Linked DNA regions of Macaca fascicularis. The protein of the gene in region 1 interacts with the protein of each later gene in a pairwise test. Links are inferred from orthologs where the notes say so. Each region holds a gene or a part of one and is shown in the gene's direction. Other genes may lie near its edges.

Evidence for each region. The genes of interacting proteins can lie anywhere in the genome.
Region 2: the proteins of A2M (region 1) and C14H11orf58 interact in a two-hybrid assay, tested with the Homo sapiens proteins (2 studies listed by BioGRID and IntAct). The link is inferred for Macaca fascicularis from reciprocal best matches to the Homo sapiens genes A2M and C11orf58.

Annotation. Positions count from the first base shown.
Region 1 is NC_088385.1:11,866,801-11,871,757, forward strand, and holds part of A2M (alpha-2-macroglobulin), read left to right. Parts: intron 1-1,829; coding exon 1,830-2,053; intron 2,054-3,740; coding exon 3,741-3,959; intron 3,960-4,127; coding exon 4,128-4,255; intron 4,256-4,957. UniProt on the Homo sapiens protein: Is able to inhibit all four classes of proteinases by a unique 'trapping' mechanism. This protein has a peptide stretch, called the 'bait region' which contains specific cleavage sites for different proteinases.
Region 2 is NC_088388.1:49,009,720-49,014,676, reverse strand, and holds part of C14H11orf58 (small acidic protein), read left to right. Parts: intron 1-1,876; coding exon 1,877-1,986; intron 1,987-3,947; coding exon 3,948-4,181; 3' UTR 4,182-4,957.

The DNA of each region.
Region 1 (4,957 bases):
TTGACCTCACAGAGCTGTTGTATTAAATGAATTGGTATACATAAAACAGTAGAGTAAATGGCACATAGCAAATCCTATAAAAGTACTAGTTGTTACTACTAACATATCAGTTCTCAATATATGCCCAATTCTTACCTGGTACATTGTATAACCTTAAACATAAGAAAATAATCATGGAAGTAACTACTGGAATGAATTCTGGTATTTTCTTTTTTTTTTTTTTTTTTTTTTGTGACAGAGTCTCACTCTGTCGCCCAGGCTGGAGTGCAGTGGTGCAATCTCGGCTTACTACAAGCTCTGCCTCCCAGGTTCACGCCATTCTCCTGCCTCAGCCTCCCAAGTAGCTGAGACTACAGGTCCCCACCACCACACTCAGCTAATTTTTTTGTATTTTTAGTAGAGACGGGGTTTCACTGTGTTAGCCAGGATGGTCTCAATCTCCTGACCTTGTGATGCGCCCTCCTCAGCCTCCCAAAGTGAATTCTGGTATTTTAAGCCCATTTCATAAGACCAATAATGTTGCCCAGTCTACTCATATTCACACAATACTTCTACATATACCATGGTCTATATGAGGGGTTGAAAACATAGAAAATAAAATGCAAATCATAAGATGTCCATTAAAATTGTCTACCTTTTTCCTTTGATAGCCATTAATTCTTCTTGAAATGTATTGAGAAATATTTTATAGTAGATACACAAAAGGGCATAAGCTATAACTAGAAAATACTGTATAACTATCTCATAGATTAAGAAATAGAAAATTACCGATATTGGAAAAATAAATCCCTTGTGTATCACTACCACCTCCAGAGGCAATCATCCTCCTGAATTTGTCATTACGATTCCATGGATTTCTTTATATTTTTCTGCATATGTGTCCCTAACTAATATTTAGAATCCTTACATGTGTTTCATCATGACAGAAACAAGATTTTTTTCTCTCTCATTCAAGAAACAAGAGAAACATTTTTGAATATTTCAGCAGCTTAGTTTTTTGTTTGCTTTTCATTTTCTAAGTTCAACATTATGTGGATGAAGACCCCTATACAAGTAGGTCAGAGTCAGCTCATTAATTTTCACTGCTGCGTAATACATTACAGTCTATAAATTAGTCATAATTTACACATCGAGCTTCTCCCATGAATTGTTTTATGTTTTCTTACTAAAAACAATGCTGCAATGAATACTCGTGTGCCTGTTTTCTCGTGCATCTGTGTTTCTCCAAATTACACTTTGAGAAGCATAATGATGGATTAGTGGGCTAAGCATATCTTCCCCATTGTTGAATATCACCAAAGAGCAATTGGCTTCCCACAGCAGTGTATGTTGGTTCCCATTGTTTCACATCCATGTCAGCCTTTGGTATTTCAAGGATTACTGTATTGTTTTTTTCAATCTAATGAGTACAAACTCTACTATTTCCTGTGATCTGTGATCCTCACAAGAAACCGCTAAAGACAGGCTTCATAGGAAATGTAACAAACTCCAGCTATGGTCTAATATAACATCATATAACATCATAAATAGGTAACAGCCACACCCAATGAGACAACTGCTGTGCCATTTCTTTCTCCCACCAACCCAACTACAGCAACTATTTGAAAACATAGATAGGCATAGGCTTCTGACTCCAGCATCAATATCTGCCTTAGCTGGGCTGAAACACACCAAATTCGGATTTACATAGAAGGAAAAGCATCTACCTACAGTTCAGGGGATTATAATGGGCATGCAATTCTCATTTCAACACTAGCTTGGGTACTTTTATATTTATATTTAAATATAAATATGTAGTCACTTATAAATATCTTTTTCTCACCTTTAAGACAACTCAGTCCACTGGGAGCGCCCTCAGAAACCTAAGGCCCCAGTGGGGCATTTTTACGAACCCCAGGCTCCCTCTGCTGAGGTGGAGATGACATCTTACGTGCTCCTCGCTTACCTCACGGCCCAGCCAGCCCCAACCTCGGAGGACCTGACCTCTGCAACCAACGTCGTGAAGTGGATCACGAAGCAGCAGAATTCCCAGGGCGGTTTCTCCTCCACCCAGGTTGGTGATTTGCCAAAACCTTTGATTTCACCTTCAGGCAGCAAAAGATTTGAACAAAAAAGAAACAAACACATCCAAGAAGAAAAAAATAAAGATGACAATAACTTGAAATGAAGGAAAGTTTTCAGTATCCAAGGATAATGGGAAATAAAAGCAAATGAAAGTCAAAGAGGGCCAAAAGGAAATGCTCAGAATTCCGGCAACCCATCACTGTGTTATTATCCTTCTGTTTCCCATAACAACACTGCCTTCCTCAAGCAGCAGTGGAGCATCAGCAGAATGAAGGAGATGTCTCCTGCCATTCTCCTGGAAGCTATAGGGTCTCTTTCAAACTGTTCAAAGGAACTCTACTCAAAATCCTCCAACAACCTCTCCTCACAAATCTCTCCATTCTTCGGTCCCCTTTAATAGGCTTTTTTCAAAACTACACATTTTGTGCTTCCCCTATTCAACCTTTTTTCTTTTTTTTCTTAAGACAGAGTGTTTCTCTGTCACCTAGGCTGGAATACAGTGGTGCGATCTTGGCTCACTGCAACCTCCACCCACAGGTTCAAGCAATTCTCATGCCTCAGCCTCCCCAGTAGCTAGGATTACAGTCATGTGCCACCATGCCCGGCTAATTTTTGTATTTTTAGTAGAGACGAGGTTTCACCATGTTGCCCAGGCTGATCTTGAACTCCTGAGCTCAGGCAATCCACCCACCTTGGCCTCACAAAATGCGAGGATTATAGGTGTGAGCCACTGCGTCCAGCCCCCTATTCACCTCATAATACACAAACGTTTATTTATCAGGAGCATAAAGAACTGTCTCGATTCATCCAACCTCCTAAGTCTAGCTATATAACCATGTATCTGAACAGTTCATCGATATGTACACAGCAGGCAGTTTTATCTTCGGAGAATTTAGATGTTTGCTTATATACCCTAAAACAGAAAAAATGTGACAAAATGGCATTCCATCCTATTTCCATTGTATTAATCTTTCATCATATGAATGAAAAAAACTAAGTAATTTTGTTAAAGGTTATCATTCATTTCTTAGAAATATATTATTTGAAGGAGGCCATCCAGGTTCAGTGTTGATGAGGATGTCTACCAGCAGACATTCACTGGGAACAGGAAATCACCCAATAAAAAGGGAAAGCCAAATAAAAATGTCATTCAATCCATAAGATAATTATAATATTCATCTTTTATTTCTTTTGGAGAAACTGAAGCATGACTCTACTCATGGCTGCAAAGAACCTTGGGTTCTCTTCAGGTCACTGACCTCAGCAACTGAGCAAAGTTTAATATGGGAGAGAGCCAGACTGAACTTTGCTTGGGTGATGTCAGATACGACCACAGTTGTCAAGAAAGACGTGTTAGCAAATAGGTGATGCCAATAACTGATTATCATTCACTTATATTTTCCACATTCCATGTTCCACATATACTTAGAGAGAAAAGGATCAATTTTCTGATAAATAAAATAAACATGTAGGGCATACAGTCCAAGGTAGATATTTGAATGTTATGGCTCTTCAACTATCTAAAGATTATAATCAATCTTGAAATTACAGCTCCAATATTTAAGTAGTGAGGGAAGTAGGAAATCAAAGTCCCTCACATGGGTCTTTGAAAAATATCTCAGCCCTCAAATCTTTAAAATACCCAATGGGTTCTCTCACTCATCTATCTCTTCCAGGACACAGTGGTGGCTCTCCATGCTTTGTCCAAATATGGAGCAGCCACGTTCACCAGAACTGGGAAGGCTGCACAGGTGACTATCCAGTCTTCAGGGACATTTTCCAACAAATTCCAAGTGGACAACAGCAACCGCCTGTTACTGCAGCGGGTCTCATTACCAGAGCTGCCTGGGGAATACAGCATGAAAGTGACAGGAGAAGGATGTGTCTACCTCCAGGTGAGACTCTTGGGCAGGTGAGGACAGAGGACAGATGAGGACAGCAGCTGTTCTCACTGAGAAGTCCTCACTCAGAAAACAATGGGGCAAACCAGAGAAAGAGTTAGGGAAGTTGAGAGGAATTCTGGGAAAGGGCAAAAAACTGATTTTGTCTTTGATGTGCCATAGACATCCTTGAAATACAATATTCTCCCAGAAAAGGAAGAGTTCCCATTTGCATTAGGGGTGCAGACTCTGCCTGCAACTTGTGACGAACCCAAAGCCCACACCAGCTTCCAAATCTCACTAAGTGTCAGGTAAGACCTTCTGACTGTATCACCTAATCCTAAGAATAACCACCAATCTTCGTACTGGAACTCCTCTTTAAGTAAAGCAGTACAATAGTAGATGTTTGCACTATTCGTTAAAAATGCAATGTATTCTCTTAAGTTGATACAACATAATTTCTCAATGATGGGGTTTACATTGTCCATCCAGGATCTATTATTGTGCAACCTCATTGTTTAAAGGGTAATAATTTCCCTCAATAACAACTAAATAAATATTACCCATTGCCTCTGACGTGAATTCCTTGTTATGTAATGAAATCCTATATTATTCTTGCTTTATTGAAGACAGAGATGAAGAATTACTGAAAAGTTTGACTAGAAGGAAGTAGTGAATCTTTAGTTAGAATTCCTACTGGCAATAAATAAATCTCAGGTTATATATGATATAATTAATTTTGGGGGAAGATATACTTATATGCATCAATATTTATTGTTTTTTTTGTTTGTTTTTTGAGACGGAGTCTCGCTCTGTCGCCCAGGCTGGAGTGCAGTGGCGCGATCTCGGCTCACTGCAAGCTCCGCCTCCTGGGTTTACGCCATTCTCCTGCCTCAGCCTCCTGAGTAGCTGGGACTACAGGCGCCCGCCACCGCGCCCAGCTAATTTTTTGTATTTTTAGTAGAGACGGGGTTTCACCGTGGTCTCGATCTCCTGACCTTGTGATCCGCCCG
Region 2 (4,957 bases), on another chromosome or scaffold:
GAGATGCTGACTAGTTGAAAAACATCACCTGAACTTAACATTTTGCAGGATGTGATTAAAATTTTCAACCACATTAAAGTACATGCCCTTAATTCACATCTGTTCATGTAGCTCTGTGAGAAGATGGACACAGAGCACATATGTCATCTCTTATACACACAACAGAGATGGCTTCCTAAAGTTAGATCACTGGCCAGAGTTTTTCAGTTATAATAGCCACTCCAGAGATTTTTTTTTTTTTTAAGAAAATGTCATCACTGGCAGCACATTTCATTGACACAGAATGGGTCGTAAAACCTGCTTACTTGGCCAGGCGTGGTGGGTCGTGCCTGTAATTACAGCACTTTTGGGAGGCCAAAGCAGGCAGATCACTTGAGGCCAGGAGTTTGAGACCAGCCTGGCCAACAGGGAGAAACCCCGTCTTTACTAAAAAATACAAAAATTACCTAGGCGTGGTGGCACACCCCTATAATCCCAGCTACTTGGGAGGCTGAGGCACGAGAATCACTTCAGCCTGAAAGCCAGAGGTTGCAATGAGCCGAGATCGAGATCATGCCGCTGCACTCCAGCCTGGGCAAGAGAGTGAGACTCTGTCTCAAAAAAAAAAAAAAAAACCTTGCTTACTTGTGTAACATATTCAATCTGTCACCTCAGGGGAGAACAAAACTGTGTTCAAGTTGGCAGATAAAGTGACTGCATTCAAAGCCAAACTGGTATTATGGGGGCCACAAGTGAACACTGGGATTTTTTGACATGTTTCAAACATTAGCAGAGATTTTAAAAGAGACTGAGCCAGGACCTTTTTTCTCCCACCTGGCACATGATCACCTATCTCAGCTTTCAAAGAGTTTGAGGTATTATTTTCCAACCACGAAAGAGCCCCAAACTGGGAAGGAATGGATTCACAACCCATTTGTGAATAAGGTGAATCGACTTTGTTCATGCTAGAAGAGGATCAGCTGCTTAAGATCACAAATGACGGTGCCCTTAAAAGTATGTTTGAGACAACTTCATTCTGGATTAAAGACAAAGTGGAATACTCTGAGATTGCCACGAAAGCACTGGAAAGCCTGCTTCTATTTCCAACCTCCTGTCTTTGTGAAACAGGGTTTTCTGTAGTGACAGCAGCCAAACAAGATTACAGCTAGTAGACTGGACATAAGCAACACACTTAGGGTGTCACTGTCTCCCATCACCCCCAGATGGGACCATCTAGTTGTAGGGAAAACAAACTCAGGGCTCCCACTGCTTCTGCATTACGGTGAGTTGTACAATTATTTCATTATATATTATGATGTGATAATAAAGTATACAATAAATGTAATACACTTGAATCATCTTGAAATCACCACCACCCCCACTCCCCATCCATGGAAAAATTGTTTTCAACAAAACTGGTCCCTGGTGCCAAAAAGGTTGGCAACTGCTGCTTTAAAGTTTTAAGTTGTTCTGATAAACTTGATATGCAAAGGAAGGCATAAAGGAGAGTCAGTACATGACCATTTTATTTAGCCATTTGCTGAACAGAAGTGCCTAGCTTTTTTCAGTGTTTTTGTTCAAAGATAGATAATTCTGTTTGTTAGAGAGTTTTTATTAGGTGACTAGGAAAAAAACTTTCAGGAGAACATCTACTTACTATAAGTAAGCTAAAACATTTAATACCCAAAGTGTTTAGTAATAAATACTTATGCTATCTCAACATCAGTCATTTTATTGTCTATTAGGTAACCACCTATGGCATAAATTCTCAAAATTCATAGTAAAATTAGTCACAATTTAGATAAATCAGCCCTGAGTATAATGGCATCTGTATTATGGGTTTTTGTGTAAATTATTAATTTGACTGAAACATAACTACAGTATCCTGGACATGCAGGGGAAGAAGACAAGAAAATTAATGAAGAACTGGAGTCTCAATATCAGCAAAGTATGGACAGTAAATTGTCAGGAAGATACCGGCGACATTGTGGACTTGGCTTCAGTGAGGTAGTAATTAACTTATTTTCATTGGGAAGATAATTAGTTTTCAATTTGGTACCACTTATTGCTGTTAGATTACCCTAGCAATCAAGAATCCCATGTAGAAAGCTCTCTGTATGTAATTATCTTAAAAATAATTGTATATGCCCTACTGGTCTCTGTAGGTAATCAGAAGAGATGTTTCCAAAGATTTTGTGTGGTGTTTTGTTTTTTGTTTTTTTTTTTTTTTTTAGATGGAGTCTCCTTCTCTCACGAGGCTGGAGTGCAGTGGTGTGATGTCTTCCACCTCCCGGGTTCAAGTGATTCTCCTGCCTCAGCCTCCTGAGTAGCTGGGATTACAGGCACCTGCCATCATGCCCAGCCAATTTTTGTATTTTTTTTATTTTTGTAGAGATGGGGTTTCACCATGTAACCAGGTTGGCCTCAAACTCCTGACCTCAGGTGATCCCACCCACCTTGGCCTCCCAAAGTGCTGGCATTACAGGCGTGAGCCACCACACCTGGCCGTTTGTTTTTGTTTTGTTTTGAGACAGAGTCTCACTCTGTTACCCCTAGGCTGGAGTGCAGTGGCACAATCTCAGCTCACTGCAACCTCCACCTCCTGGGTTCAGGCAATTCTCCTGCCTCAGCTTCCTGAGTAGATGAATTACAGGCACATGATGCCACACGCAGCTAATTTTTTGTATTTTAGTAGAGATAGGGTTTCACCATGTTGCCCAGGCTGGCCTTGAACTCCTGAGCTCAGGCAATCTGCCCACCTCAGTCTCCCAAAGTGCTAGGATTACAGGCTTGAGCCACCGTGCCCAGCCTCACCTGGCCTGTTTCTAAGGATTTTAAAGTGTGTTTTCTAAAAATGAAAATGCTGTTTAAACATCAGAGCACCTTTCCCCCTTTTTTGAGACAGGTTCTCACTCTGTCACCCAGGCTGGAGTACAGTGGCACAGTCTCACTGCCACCTTAGCCTCCCAAGGACCTGGGATATAGGCCTGCACCACCACGCCTAGCTAATTTTTGTATTTTTTGTAAAGATGGACTTTTGCTATGTTGCCCAGGCTGGTCTCAAACTCCTGGGTTCAAGCGATCTTTCCGCCTCCCAAAGTGCTGGAACTACAGGCGTGAACCACCACGCCTGGCCAGGGCACATTTTTAATAGGCATGAACGACATGCTCACAAGTTAAGTAAAATATTTCATGTAAGTTTAAAATAATGGTTTAAGAGAGCTTTTTTTTTTCAGTTGTTTCCTAAGTGATCTCTTTTTATATTACGAATTTATGTGTGACTACTGTTTACTCCAAAGTAATACAATGTGCAAAACAATTATAACTGATTTCCACATAAAGGTCAGTGGTTAACATGCCTTATCAATTTAAAAAATTGTTTCTTTCGGGAAAATATAATACCGTGGTTTTCAAACTAGGAGAGGGGAGATAGGTGTGTGGTCTTCAGAGCACCTCCCCTCTTGTTTTCTTTTGTCTTTTAAGAAACGGAGTCTTGCTCTGTCACACAGGCTGGAATGCGGTGGCATGATCATAGCTCACTACAGCCTTGAACTCCTAGGCTCAAGCAATCCTCACACCTTAGCCTCCGGAGTAGCTAGAACTACAGGCATGCACCACCATGCCTGGCTAATTTTTCTTTGTTGTTTTTTTTTTTAGTTTCTTTTTTGTTGTTGTTGTTGTTTTTAAGAGACAGGGTCTCAATATGTTGCCCAGGCTGGTCTCAAATTTGTGGCTTCAAGCAATCCCCCTGCCTCTCAGCCTCTTGAGTAGCTGGAATCTCAGTCACAGGTATGAGCCACTGGGCCTAGCCAGACAGAGCTCTTTCTTAAAATTCCACTCAAGTCTTAAAACTGTTGTTCAATGGCTACAAAGTAAGTGTTTCTAAGACTGACAGAACTTACGGTCTTTCTCAGATTCTGTATGGGCTAATGTTTATTTTTAAAAGAGCCTGTTGATTGATGTTTTAGGTAGAAGATCATGATGGAGAAGGTGATGTAGCTGGAGATGATGATGATGACGATGATGATTCACCTGATCCTGAAAGTCCAGATGATTCTGAAAGTGATTCAGAGTCAGAGAAAGAAGAATCTGCTGAAGAACTCCAAGCTCCTGAGCACCCTGATGAAGTGGAGGATCCCAAAAACAAAAAAGATGCAAAAAGCAATTATAAAATGATGTTTGTTAAATCCAGTGGTTCATAACTCCCAAACGCTTAGTCTTTGTATTAAAAGTAAGCCTTATTGTTATAATGCACAGTGGAGGACTGCTTATAGAGCACAGACCTTTGTATTATAATTTTTAAAAAGGCCCTTTTAAATAATTACAAGGAGTGTTTGCTTTCAAATGCCATGGGTTACACTTTTATGGGCATGACTATAACCAATTTTGTAAAGAGTAAGAGTTGTATAAAATAAGAAATAAATACAGTACTCAACTTACTTTCATATTAGCATCATCAGCCCTCTAATTCACCGTATGGGGGAAACGCTTTTTGTTTGTGATAGCTATTTTATCATTTCCTTCATATTTTTCTCTTATAAAAATGTATTTGATACTGTGATACGTTCATGAAAAGTATTCTTTAATTATTCTTTGTTATAGTAGAGCTGTTCATCATGGAAATTTCTGCTGCCAGTCACAATCTAAATTAATTTTGGCAAAAGATTGGGTACTTAGTTTCCTGTTACTGAGTTAGCTCTACTCTTTTGGACCAAAGCAACATGAGAGTAAGTACTTTTCACACTTGTTAAGATGGGAGTTATAACTGTCATACATTTGGAATATTATGATCCCAAGTAGTCTTTTTATAATTTGGATTATATCGTATGTTAGATTTTTGATAAGATTTGGCCAATTTTTACAGAAGAAATGATTTCTCTGATCATTTAGTTCTATCTATTTAGAAATATGTAAAACTGGATTTTTTTTTTTTTAAGTAACGTGACCAAAGTTAATTTTGTCCCAAAGGTCTAAATAA